Linked DNA regions of Xenopus tropicalis. The protein of the gene in region 2 purifies or fractionates together with the protein of the main gene of each other region. This does not show direct contact. Links are inferred from orthologs where the notes say so. Each region holds a gene or a part of one and is shown on either strand. Other genes may lie near its edges.

Region 1 (6,540 bases), on a different chromosome or scaffold from region 2:
CTCTCAGTGAGGAACTCTGGGTAATGGTGTGAGTGTCTCTCAGTGAGGAACTCTGGGTAATGGTGTGACTGTCTCTCAGTGAGTGTCTCTCAGTGAGGAACTCTGGGTAATGGTGTGAGTGTCTCTCAGTGAGGAACTCTGGTAATGGTGTGACTGTCTCTCAGTGAGTGTCTCTCAGTGAGGAACTCTGGGTAATGGTGTGAGTGTCTCTCAGTGAGTGTCTCTCAGTGAGTGACTCTGGTAATGGTGTGACTGTCTCTCAGTGAGTGTCTCTCAGTGAGTGACTCTGGGGTAATGGTGTGAATGTCTCTCAGTGAGTGACTCTGGGTAATGGTGTGACTGTCTCTCAGTGAGTGTCTCTGGGTAATGGTGTGAGTGTCTCTCAGTGAGGAACTCTGGGTAATGGTGTGAGTGTCTCTCAGTGAGTGACTCTGGGTAATGGTGTGAGTGTCTCTCAGTGAGTGACTCTGGGTAATGGTGTGAGTGTCTCTCAGTGAGGAACTCTGGGTAATGGTGTGAGTGTCTCTCAGTGAGTGTCTCTCAGTGAGTGACTCTGGGTAATGGTGTGACTGTCTCTCAGTGAGTGACTCTGGGTAATGGTGTGACTGTCTCTCAGTGAGTGTCTCTCAGTGAGTGACTCTGGTAATGGGGTGACTGTCTCTCAGTGAGTGACTCTGGGTAATGGGGTGAGTGTCTCCTCAGTGAGTGTCTCTCAGTGAGTGACTCTGGGTAATGGTGTGACTGTCTCTCAGTGAGTGACTCTGGGTAATGGTGTGACTGTCTCTCAGTGAGTGTCTCTCAGTGAGTGACTCTGGTAATGGTGTGACTGTCTCTCAGTGAGTGACTCTGGGTAATGGTGTGACTGTCTCTCAGTGAGTGACTCTGGGTAATGGTGTGACTGTCTCTCAGTGAGGGACTCTGGGTAATGGTGTGAGTGTCTCTCAGTGAGTGTCTCTGGGTAATGGTGTGACTGTCTCTCAGTGAGTGACTCTGGGTAATGGTGTGACTGTCTCTCAGTGAGTGTCTCTCAGTGAGTGACTCTGGGTAATGGTGTGACTGTCTCTCAGTGAGTGTCTCTCAGTGAGGGACTCTGGGTAATGGTGTGAGTGTCTCTCAGTGAGTGTCTCTCAGTGAGGAACTCTGGATAATGGTGTGAGTGTCTCTCAGTGAGTGTCTCTCAGTGAGTGACTCTGGGTAATGGTGTGAGTGTCTCTCAGTGAGTGTCTCTCAGTGAGTGACTCTGGGTAATGGTGTGAGTGTCTCTCAGTGAGTGTCTCTCAGTGAGTGTCTCTGGGTAATGGTGTGAGTGTCTCTCAGTGAGTGTCTCTCAGTGAGTGTCTCTCAGTGAGTGACTCTGGGTAATGGTGTGACTGTCTCTCAGTGAGTGTCTCTCAGTGAGGGACTCTGGGTAATGGTGTGACTGTCTCTCAGTGAGTGTCTCTCAGTGAGGGACTCTGGGTAATGGTGTGACTGTCTCTCAGTGAGTGACTCTGGGTAATGGTGTGACTGTCTCTCAGTGAGTGACTCTGGGTAATGGTGTGACTGTCTCTCAGTGAGTGACTCTGGGTAATGGTGTGAGTGTCTCTCAGTGAGGAACTCTGGGTAATGGTGTGACTGTCTCTCAGTGAGTGTCTCTCAGTGAGTGACTCTGGGTAATGGTGTGAGTGTCTCTCAGTGAGTGTCTCTCAGTGAGTGACTCTGGGTAATGGTGTGAGTGTCTCTCAGTGAGTGTCTCTCAGTGAGTGACTCTGGGTAATGGGGTGAGTGTCTCTCAGTGAGGAACTCTGGGTAATGGGGTGAGTGTCTCTCAGTGAGGAACTCTGGGTAATGGTGTGACTGTCTCCCAGTGAGTGTCTCTCAGTGAGGAACTCTGGGTAATGGTGTGAGTGTCTCTCAGTGAGGAACTCTGGGTAATGGTGTGACTGTCTCTCAGTGAGTGTCTCTGGGTAATGGTGTGAGTGTCTCTCAGTGAGTGTCTCTCAGTGAGGAACTCTGGGTAATGGGGTGAGTGTCTCTCAGTGAGGAACTCTGGGTAATGGTTGTGACTGTCTCTCAGTGAGTGTCTCTCAGTGAGGAACTCTGGGTAATGGTGTGAGTGTCTCTCAGTGAGGAACTCTGGGTAATGGTGTGAGTGTCTCTCAGTGAGGAACTCTGGGTAATGGTGTGAGTGTCTCTCAGTGAGGAACTCTGGGTAATGGTGTGAGTGTCTCTCAGTGAGTGACTCTGGGTAATGGTGTGACTGTCTCTCAGTGAGTGTCTCTCAGTGAGTGTCTCTCAGTGAGGAACTCTGGGTAATGGTGTGAGTGTCTCTCAGTGAGTGACTCTGGGTAATGGTGTGAGTGTCTCTCAGTGAGGAACTCTGGGTAATGGTGTGAGTGTCTCTCAGTGAGTGTCTCTCAGTGAGTGTCTCTCAGTGAGTGACTCTGGGTAATGGTGTGAGTGTCTCTCAGTGAGTGTCTCTCAGTGAGGAACTCTGGGTAATGGTGAGTCTCAGACTGTGCGTCGCTCACAGTGTCCGGCCCCGCCCACATTCCTGCCTCCCGCTACTTGCAGTCTCCTCCCACAAGTGTCCGTGTCTCCGCCCCATTCCCGCCTGTGCCCCGCCCCTGTTCCCCGGTGCCTCCTCCCCGGGCTGTGAGTGGCTCCCCCGGCCCGTGTGGCTCAGTGCTGTCTCCGCTCTGCCCCAGGCTGATGGCGCTAGTCGGTAACTCGGGGCCCCCACAGTCCGCCTGACTCTCCCGCCCTCCCTCCGTACTCCAGGCCGCGGCCCGGGCCTAGCCTTGCTGTGGGACTCCCCGGGGCCATGTCTAACCAGGGATCCCGGCGGAACGGGCCGGTGAAGCTGCGACTGACCGGTGAGTAGGCCCGATACCCCTGCGTGGGGCAGAAGGCTCAGGGTGGGAGGGATCACAACAACAAGTTGGGCCCGGTGCTTCCCAGCATTCCGTGCGTTTGTCATGAGTTCCGGGGGCAAGTAGGGTAATATTCACCCCAGCTACTTCCTGCCGTTAGTTACCCCTCAGGCCTAACCTGCATGTTCCATTGAGCCCAGGGGCCCCTCTGGCTTGGCCTGGAGCTGAGCAATTGCCCTTTGAGGCAGGATTACTTGCCCTAGGTGGGGGTAACTAGTTGGTTTGGGGCCCTGGGTGCTTCTGGGGTCACACCCTGTGCTTATTGGGGTCCTGCCCAGGCTGTGAGTGCGCCCCCTAATTACAGGGCAATAACGAGACCTAATTAATAGAGTTTATATGAGTCTGGCGCTTGTACCCCTGTATGGGGCAGTTAGCTCATGTATGTGCCTGATTCCTGCGCCACTTGCCCCTGTATAGGGGGTACTTATTAGAGGGAAGAAGTCACTTGTGTAGGCTTGTGGGGGCGCCAGGAACCCTAAAATAAACCCCAAATGCCCAACCCCTCCCCTATCGGCCAGGCCTGGGGGCTGCAACCATCTTCCTTCAAGGCTTCGCAATCCCCTTTCTGGGCTAATGTGCATTTGGGGCAACTAGGATTGCTGCTCTTTGGATTCTGCCCCTGCTCAAGGTACCAACATGGCTCCTCAGCCCCAATGTGTCTGAGTTGCATCTCGATTGTGAAATAAGTTTTAGTCCTTTAATGGCATTTTACTGTATTTTGCGTGAAATCTGGAGTGGTCATTGGGGTATGTAATGGATCTGCCCTGGGCACTGCCACCCTTGGCTACTGGAACTCTGGCTGGACCTTATTTGCCCTTTAACTCATCTTTGAAGAGGATGCTGGGATTTGTAGTTCTTTAACAGCTGGTTGCCTAGGCATTCAAAAAGCAGTATTACTAAGTCCTTACCATATGGGCCCCCCTTTCCTCACTGACTACAGGGGGGCTGGTATTAAAAGCAATCATGGGTACCCACTCTAACCATAGGAAATGCCCACAATGGCTTGGCATGCAGAGATTTACAGTGGCATCCATGGTAGTGAGTATTGGCCTTGTCTGGCATTGTCCTTTAATTGTGAACCCTGTTGTTCGGGTTGCCTTTTGCTCACACTGAATGCTGGGAGATGTAGTTTCACAATATGTGGGCCTCTGGCCTAGGTGCCCTGCATTGTCAGTACAAGTGCAGCTGAGTGTGAGAGAGTACATGGAATATGAATCATGGTTTCTTATGGAGTCATTCACACTGGCAGTTTCCTTCTGAGCATTTATACAGAAACCATAGAGTTGTGCCCATAGGCAGACATACAGATACCATAGAGTTGTGCCCATAGGCAGACATACAGAAGCCATAGAATTGTGCCTATAGGCAGACATACAGAAGCCATAGAGTTGTGCCTATAGGCAGACATACAGATACCATAGAGTTGTGCCCATAGGCAGACATACAGATGCCATAGAGTTGTGCCTATAGGCAGACATACAGATACCATAGAGTTGTGCCCATAGGCAGACATACAGATACCATAGAGTTGTGCCCATAGGCAGACATACAGAAGCCATAGAGTTGTGCCCATAGGCAGACATACAGATGCCATAGAGTTGTGCCTATAGGCAAACATACAGAAGCCATAGAGTTGTGCCCATAGGCCCATGTCCCCCTGACAGACCGGCGTAGCCCCAGGTTTCCCCCCTGACAGACCGGCGTAGCCCCAGGTTTCGCCCCTGACAGACCGGCGTAGCCCCAGGTTTCGCCCCTGACAGACCGGCGTAGCCCCAGGTTTCGCCCCTGACAGACCGGCGTAGCCCCAGGTTTCCCCCCTGACAGACCGGCGTAGCCCCAGGTTTCGCCCCTGACAGACCGGCGTAGCCCCAGGTTTCGCCCCTGACAGACCGGCGTAGCCCCAGGTTTCCCCCCTGACAGACCGGCGTAGCCCCAGGTTTCCCCCCTGACAGACCGGCGTAGCCCCAGGTTTCCCCCCTGACAGACCGGCGTAGCCCCAGGTTTCCCCCCTGACAGACCGGCGTAGCCCCAGGTTTCGCCCCTGACAGACCGGCGTAGCCCCAGGTTTCCCCCCTGACAGACCGGCGTAGCCCCAGGTTTCCCCCCTGACAGACCGGCGTAGCCCCAGGTTTCGCCCCTGACAGACCGGCGTAGCCCCAGGTTTCCCCCCTGACAGACCGGCGTAGCCCCAGGTTTCCCCCCTGACAGACCGGCGTAGCCCCAGGTTTCCCCCCTGACAGACCGGCGTAGCCCCCAGGTTTCCCCCCTGACAGACCGGCGTAGCCCCAGGTTTCCCCCCTGACAGACCGGCGTAGCCCCAGGTTTCCCCCCTGACAGACCGGCGTAGCCCCAGGTTTCCCCCCTGACAGACCGGCGTAGCCCCAGGTTTCCCCCCTGACAGACCGGCGTTATAAAGTCATTATGGCTGGGAATGTCAATGCTATAAATGCAGTGATGACCTGCTTTGTCAGCGTGTTCCTCTGGGCCGGTCCCAGCTGCAGATTCCATGGCCAGGTACCGGGATGTGCATGTTGTTCTGACCCATTATGGTACTGTGTAAGGCCAGGTACCGGGATGTGCATGTTGTTCTGACCCATTATGGTACTGTGTAAGGCCAGGTACCGGGATGTGCATGTTGTTCTGACCCATTATGGTACTGTGTAAGGCCAGGTACCGGGGTGTGCATGTTGTTCTGACCCATTATGGTACTGTGTAAGGCCAGGTACCGGGGTGTGCATGTTGTTCTGACCCATTATGGTACTGTGTAAGGCCAGGTACCGGGATGTGCATGTTGTTCTGACCCATTATGGTACTGTGTAAGGCCAGGTACCGGGGTGTGCATGTGTTCTGACCCATTATGGTACTGTGTAAGGCCAGGTACCGGGGTGTGCATGTTGTTCTGACCCATTATGGTACTGTGTAAGGCCAGGTACCGGGGTGTGCATGTTGTTCTGACCCATTATGGTACTGTGTAAGGCCAGGTACCGGGGTGTGCATGTTGTTCTGACCCATTATGGTACTGTGTAAGGCCAGGTACCGGGATGTGCATGTTGTTCTGACCCATTATGGTACTGTGTAAGGCCAGGTACCGGGATGTGCATGTTGTTCTGACCCATTATGGTACTGTGTAAGGCCAGGTACCGGGATGTGCATGTTGTTCTGACCCATTATGGTACTGTGTAAGGCCAGGTACCGGGATGTGCATGTTGTTCTGACCCATTATGGTACTGTGTAAGGCCAGGTACCGGGATGTGCATGTTGTTCTGACCCATTATGGTACTGTGTAAGGCCAGGTACCGGGATGTGCATGTTGTTCTGACCCATTATGGTACTGTGTAAGGCCAGGTACCGGGATGTGCATGTTGTTCTGACCCATTATGGTACTGTGTAAGGCCAGGTACCGGGATGTGCATGTTGTTCTGACCCATTATGGTACTGTGTAAGGCCAGGTACCGGGGTGTGCATGTTGTTCTGACCCATTATGGTACTGTGTAAGGCCAGGTACCGGGGTGTGCATGTTGTTCTGACCCATTATGGTACTGTGTAAGGCCAGGTAACGCGGGGTGTGCATGTTGTTCTGACCCCATTATGGTACTGTGTAAGGCCAGGTACCGGGGTGTGCATGTTG
Region 2 (6,251 bases):
CAGGGGGCCATATAGGTGCCATGTACAGGGGCTATATTCTCTGCAGTCAGGGGCCCATATAGGTGCCATGTACAGGGGCTATATTCTCTGCAGTCAGGGGCCATATAGGTGCCATGTACAGGGGCTATATTCTCTGCAGTCAGGGGCCCATATAGATGCCATGTACAGGGGCTATATTCTCTGCAGTCAGGGGCCCATATAGGTGCCATGTACAGGGGCTATATTCTCTGCAGTCAGGGGCCCATATAGGTGCCATGTACAGGGGCTATATTCTCTGCAGTCAGGGGGCCCATATAGGTGCCATGTACAGGGGCTATATTCTCTGCAGTCAGGGGCCCATATAGGTGCCATGTACAGGGGCTATATTCTCTGCAGTCAGGGGCCCATATAGGTGCCATGTACAGGGGCTATATTCTCTGCAGTCAGGGGGCCCATATAGGTGCCATGTACAGGGGCTATATTCTCTGCAGTCAGGGGCCCATATAGGTGCCATGTACAGGGGCTATATTCTCTGCAGTCAGGGGGCCATATAGGTGCCATGTACAGGGGCTATATTCTCTGCAGTCAGGGGGCCCATATAGGTGCCATGTACAGGGGCTATATTCTCTGCAGTCAGGGGCCCATATAGGTGCCATGTACAGGGGCTATATTCTCTGCAATCAGGGGGCCATATAGGTGCCATGTACAGGGGCTTTATTCTCTGCAGTCAGGGGCCCATATAGGTGCCATGTACAGGGGCTATATTCTCTGCAGTCAGGGGCCCATATAGGTGCCATGTACAGGGGCTATATTCTCTGCAGTCAGGGGCCCATATAGGTGCCATGTACAGGGGCTATATTCTCTGCAGTCAGGGGCCCATATAGGTGCCATGTACAGGGGCTATATTCTCTGCAGTCAGGGGGCCATATAGGTGCCATGTACAGGGGCTATATTCTCTGCAGTCAGGGGGCCCATATAGGTGCCATGTACAGGGGCTATATTCTCTGCAGTCAGGGGCCCATATAGGTGCCATGTACAGGGGCTATATTCTCTGCAGTCAGGGGCCCATATAGGTGCCATGTACAGGGGCTATATTCTCTGCAGTCAGGGGGCCATATAGGTGCCATGTACAGGGGCTATATTCTCTGCAGTCAGGGGGCCCATATAGGTGCCATGTACAGGGGCTATATTCTCTGCAGTCAGGGGCCCATATAGGTGCCATGTACAGGGGCTATATTCTCTGCAGTCAGGGGGCCATATAGGTGCCATGTACAGGGGCTATATTCTCTGCAGTCAGGGGGCCCATATAGGTGCCATGTACAGGGGCTATATTCTCTGCAGTCAGGGGCCCATATAGGTGCCATGTACAGGGGCTATATTCTCTGCAATCAGGGGGCCATATAGGTGCCATGTACAGGGGCTTTATTCTCTGCAGTCAGGGGCCCATATAGGTGCCATGTACAGGGGCTATATTCTCTGCAGTCAGGGGCCCATATAGGTGCCATGTACAGGGGCTATATTCTCTGCAGTCAGGGGCCCATATAGGTGCCATGTACAGGGGCTATATTCTCTGCAGTCAGGGGGCCATATAGGTGCCATGTACAGGGGCTATATTCTCTGCAGTCAGGGGCCCCATATAGGTACCATGTACATAGAAGCTTTTTGTTTTTTTAAGGGCCCCATTTTACAGGGTTCATCACCTTTGGGGCCCAGGTGACTGGAGGGTTAATACTTGAAGCCGCATGATTACTTTTGACGGCCCTGGCTGCTGGTTTAGGATTGGCTGCTGCTGTACTGGCACTGTGAGACTAAAGCAAAGGGTTAATAATATAAATAAAAGGCAGAGGCTTTCCCAAAATCAAGCAGCAGGCCTGGGAGCGTAACCAGCCCCGTTAGCAGAAGCAATCCAGTAAGCAGGGCTTCTTCCAGAATGCAGCACTACTGCGCTAGTAAGGCCCCGCCCACAGACTGGCAATTCCGCCCTGTTCTAATACAGCCACGCCTCTTTCCCTAACTAGCCTTTTCCTTTCTCCACGCTTCCCCGCCTCCTCCTTCCCGCTCCATGCCGGCCCCGCCCACCCCCTGCTCAGTGGCCCGGATGTAGGCTGGATCGCTGCTGCTGTTGCTGCTGGTACGCAGGCGCGGCCCGTATCTGGGGGTTCTTGTTGTCCGCGGCCTGGGCCGCTGTGGAGCGGGCGGGGGGTGCCGGAAGAAACGGAGCTTTTCTTCACTTCGAATTCGGTAAGGAAATAGGCGGGAAGGAAGGGGTTGCTCCGGGCCTGGGCTGGGAGTGTAGTTCCCAGGCCGCCCGGGGATTAGCTGCCTTGCCGCTCATGGAGAGGGAGGGGACGGGCTGAGGCTCCGGGGCACAAACACTGGAGGCGGTGAGGCGCTTGCCTATCTTACGGGCGCCTTTAAAGCTCCTCTTTTCCCATAGGGGCCTATGGGAGTTACGGTTTGTCAGCTCTTACACATATCCTGTGCGGCTATTGTTGTTGCAGGGGATGATGGGAGTTGTAGTTCAGTAAAGACAGAGAAGCCCAAACCCTTATAGTGGTTTCCTAATTCACCTCTTAGAGGTTGGGGATTTGATTGATTGTAAGCTCCCTGGCTGAGGCTGATATGTACAGGAGGGTTTATTGACCCCTAATGGTTCCCAATAACCATGGGGTTATTTTATTGCTACTAGGGATGGGCAGTGGCAGGTAGGGATGGTCAAACCGCCTCTCCTAATGCTTTCCAATGGGTAGAACAGGAGACACAGGGAGAATATACAAATATATATATATAATGCCCTGACTGGGATCGAACCTACAACCCCAACACTTACCCCAGTGATTACTGGACAATACTGCTGTAGGACTCGGTAGCTGGGGCACAGAGAGAGGTTATAGGAATATCTGAGCCTAGCTCCCCCCGCCCATAAACCAGGCCACTGTGGGCTGAAAGGGACTGGCAGGTTTAGGTTTACTTCCCCTTTAAAGAGAATAGTAAGCCTCTAGGAAACATTGCTTCCTTTCAACGCTCTTATGGCATAGGGCTGCTGCCTAGCAACTAGTCATATGTTCCAATGTTAGACTGGATTGTAACTAGGAGTAGTTTTATTTGGCGGATGAGGCCTCTTGCAACAATGTAGCAGAAGTTGATTTCCTCCAGATCTATCTGCTGGCTTCTTCTACATTATTGTTATTAAAGATTATCATAAGGGATAATGTACCCCCTACTGTAAATGATAAGGATATTAGCAGTCACTGAGGGGTTATGTGCCCATATAAAGGCACAAGGCTGCAGGCTGAGTTATACAGGGAACTCTGAGTATCACTCATGTATTATAAGGGATAATGTACCCCCTACTGTAAATGATAAGGATATTAGCAGTCACTGAGGGGTTCTGTGCCCATATAAAGGCACAAGGCTGCAGGCTGAGTTATACAGGGAACTCTGAGTATCACTCATGTATTATAAGGGATAATGTACCCCCTACTGTAAATGATAAGGATATTAGCAGTCACTGAGGGGTTCTGTGCCCATATAAAGGCACAAGGCTGCAGGCTGAGTTATACAGGGAACTCTGAGTATCACTCATGTATTATAAGGGATAATGTACCCCCTACTGTAAATGATAAGGATATGAGCAGTCACTGAGGGGCTCTGTGCCCATATAAAGGCACAAGGCTGCAGGCTGAGTTATACAGGGAACTCTGAGTATCACTCATGTATTATAAGGGATAATGTACCCCCTACTGTAAATGATAAGGATATTAGAAGTCACTGAGGGGTTCTGTGCCCATATACATCGAGCCAAATGCAAAAAAAGACATATAGTGTCACTGTGTCGGTGAACACCAAACCATTGTCAGTTGGCAGATCGATGGGGATGTTGGGCTCACAGGTGGTGCGGCTGCATTGTGCAACCATAAAGCAGAGCAGCTGGGGGTTAAGCCGTGCAGGCACCTTAATGTCTCTGCGCATGAAGCGATGTGATTGGTGGTTCTGATTCCGTACACAATGTTCCTTTGCTGAAATTCATGATCCAGTTCCCCCCCCTTCTGTGAAACATTATATCTGATGCACGGATTAAGCGCCGGGGCTCAAGCTGCTTCTTTTAACAGTCGTTGAGGAGACACCATCAAGGCATATTATTAAATACAGCCTCATTCTTAGCATGCCAGCCGGCGGGCCGCTATCCCATCTACCATCATTGGATTATACACAAGCACTATACTGGGCTGGCAGATTGCTCTGAGCCTCCGTGCTGTACTGATATTAGTACCGGTGTATGCAAGATATCTCCGCCTGGTGTCTGCAATTCTTCTCTATTATTCATACTCTATGCCCTAGGGGGGTTACACAGTTCTGTATCCTTCTACCAGAACAGATCTGTGCATTTAAGTGACAAGCACATATCAGTGTAAAGCTGGGAATTAGGGATGCACCGAATCCATTTGGCTGAATAACGAACAGATTGCTAATTAGGTTACGGAAGGGTTACATCTTCATTAGCAAATGCTTATTAGGGTACGGAAGGGTTACATTTTCAACTTCCGTGTTTACGTGACAAAAAGTCACGTGATTTTTTGAATTTGGTTCGTCCAGGAGCATGGATTCGGCCGAAAGCAAATCCCGAACTGAATCCTGGATTCGGTGCAGCCCTACTGGGAATACACGTAGAATCTGTAATGGTCTGAACATTTTGGCTCCCAGTCCAACAACCAAACCATAATAGGGGCCCAACAGGATTCTGTAATGTGGTGGCCAAACTGGATCCAGATATCAGTCAGACAGGCCAGCAGGAGGGCTCCATATATTGGCTAATATGGGGCTGACTTGATCTGGAGGGACTAAAGGTGGCCATACACAGTAAGATCTGCTCACTTGGTGAGGTCGCCAAGCGAGCGGATCTTCTCCCAATATCCCCACCTACGGGTGGGTGATATCGGGCTAATTTGGTCATTTGGCCCTGGGGCCAAACGATCGAATTAGAATGACGGGTATAGGCGCAGTCAGTTCAGGGACCGCATCAACGAGCCGATGCAGTCCCCGGTCCAACTAAATTTTTAAACCTGCCTGATTTTAGGCCAGATATCGGTTGGGCAGGCCAGTCGGTAGTGCCCATACACGGGCCGATAAGCTGTCAAGTCAGTCTAAGGGACTGATATCGGCAGCTAGAATTGGCCCGTGTATGGCCACCTTAAGATCTGCTTTGTTGGTGAGGTCGCCAAACGAGCAGATCTTTTCCCAATTTTCTCCCGATATGCCAACCTAAGGTAGGAGATATTGGGCTAAATTGATCCTTTGGGGGGTATATGGGATGTCGGACCGAGGACTGCATCAATGAGCCCCTATCCGACGGGAAAATCAAGATCTGTTGGGGTAGGCCCGTGGGGGGTGCCCATACTCAGGTAGATAAGCTGCAGTATTTGTCTGAAGGACCCAAATCAGCAGCTGAAATCTGCCCCGTAAGGTAGCTGCTTTTATTGGTTACGTTATGAAAGAACGGAAGGACAAATGCTTCAAAGGAACTTGGGCACATACATTTGGTTGAATTATAGGTAGTAGTTTGTCTTTCATAGGGCTGCTGTCTGAAATAAATTGTACAGCAGCTGTACACCCTAATAGTAATTTAAAAAAAATTAGTTTATTAAGGATTTTAGTTGCCCGTGATAACCATCCGTGCCATGGATTGATGGATCCCTTCCTTTGCCTTTTTTGTGTGTAAAGTAATGGTGTTTTGACAGCACAGGCCTGGGGACGGCTATCGGAAGTGACATGTGGCTGTGATGGTCACATCAGGCTCCCTTAGGGCTCTGCGCTCCAGAATCCATTAAGGTATCAGATTCCGCAAAAGGTTTATATTTCTCTCCTTTACTGACACTGAGTTCTTCATTAGTGACAATGGAGTTTTTATATTGATCCGTATCTGGTGGTGCCAGAAGGGACCCATGGCAGTCTGAGTATATGGCACCCACCCCCTGGCAAAGAGACTCTTCTGATCCAGATGCGCTCTCCCTTTGCACGAACGCTTTGCTGACTCAAAACAGTTTCCTCTTCTGTTATTTTTGGCATAGACCAGGCGGCAGAATTTTCCATGTGTGTTCGGTTTGTTTACAGATGGGAGTGCGAGAAGGTGAAGAATCCACGCACATCTCTGTGAGATTGTTTATCTGCCAGGGGCATGCTTATGGGCATATAGCCCCCTGGAACCCTGGGGTATTATAGGGAATGTATTTAGGGTGCCCTACCGACCAGGGCATGCCAACTTGGAGGTTATT

What was found. The genes of interacting proteins can lie anywhere in the genome.
Region 1: the proteins of smad4.1 (region 2) and smurf2 purify together in Homo sapiens (affinity purification with western blotting; 3 studies listed by BioGRID). This does not show direct contact. The link is inferred for Xenopus tropicalis from reciprocal best matches to the Homo sapiens genes SMAD4 and SMURF2.

The regions. Positions count from the first base shown.
Region 1 is NC_030686.2:51,424,458-51,430,997, forward strand, and holds the start of smurf2 (E3 ubiquitin-protein ligase SMURF2), read left to right. Parts: upstream 1-2,563; 5' UTR 2,564-2,803; coding exon 2,804-2,855; intron 2,856-6,540. UniProt on the Homo sapiens protein: E3 ubiquitin-protein ligase which accepts ubiquitin from an E2 ubiquitin-conjugating enzyme in the form of a thioester and then directly transfers the ubiquitin to targeted substrates.
Region 2 is NC_030677.2:205,055,956-205,062,206, forward strand, and holds the start of smad4.1 (mothers against decapentaplegic homolog 4), read left to right. Parts: upstream 1-2,057; 5' UTR 2,058-2,220; intron 2,221-6,251. UniProt on the Homo sapiens protein: In muscle physiology, plays a central role in the balance between atrophy and hypertrophy. When recruited by MSTN, promotes atrophy response via phosphorylated SMAD2/4.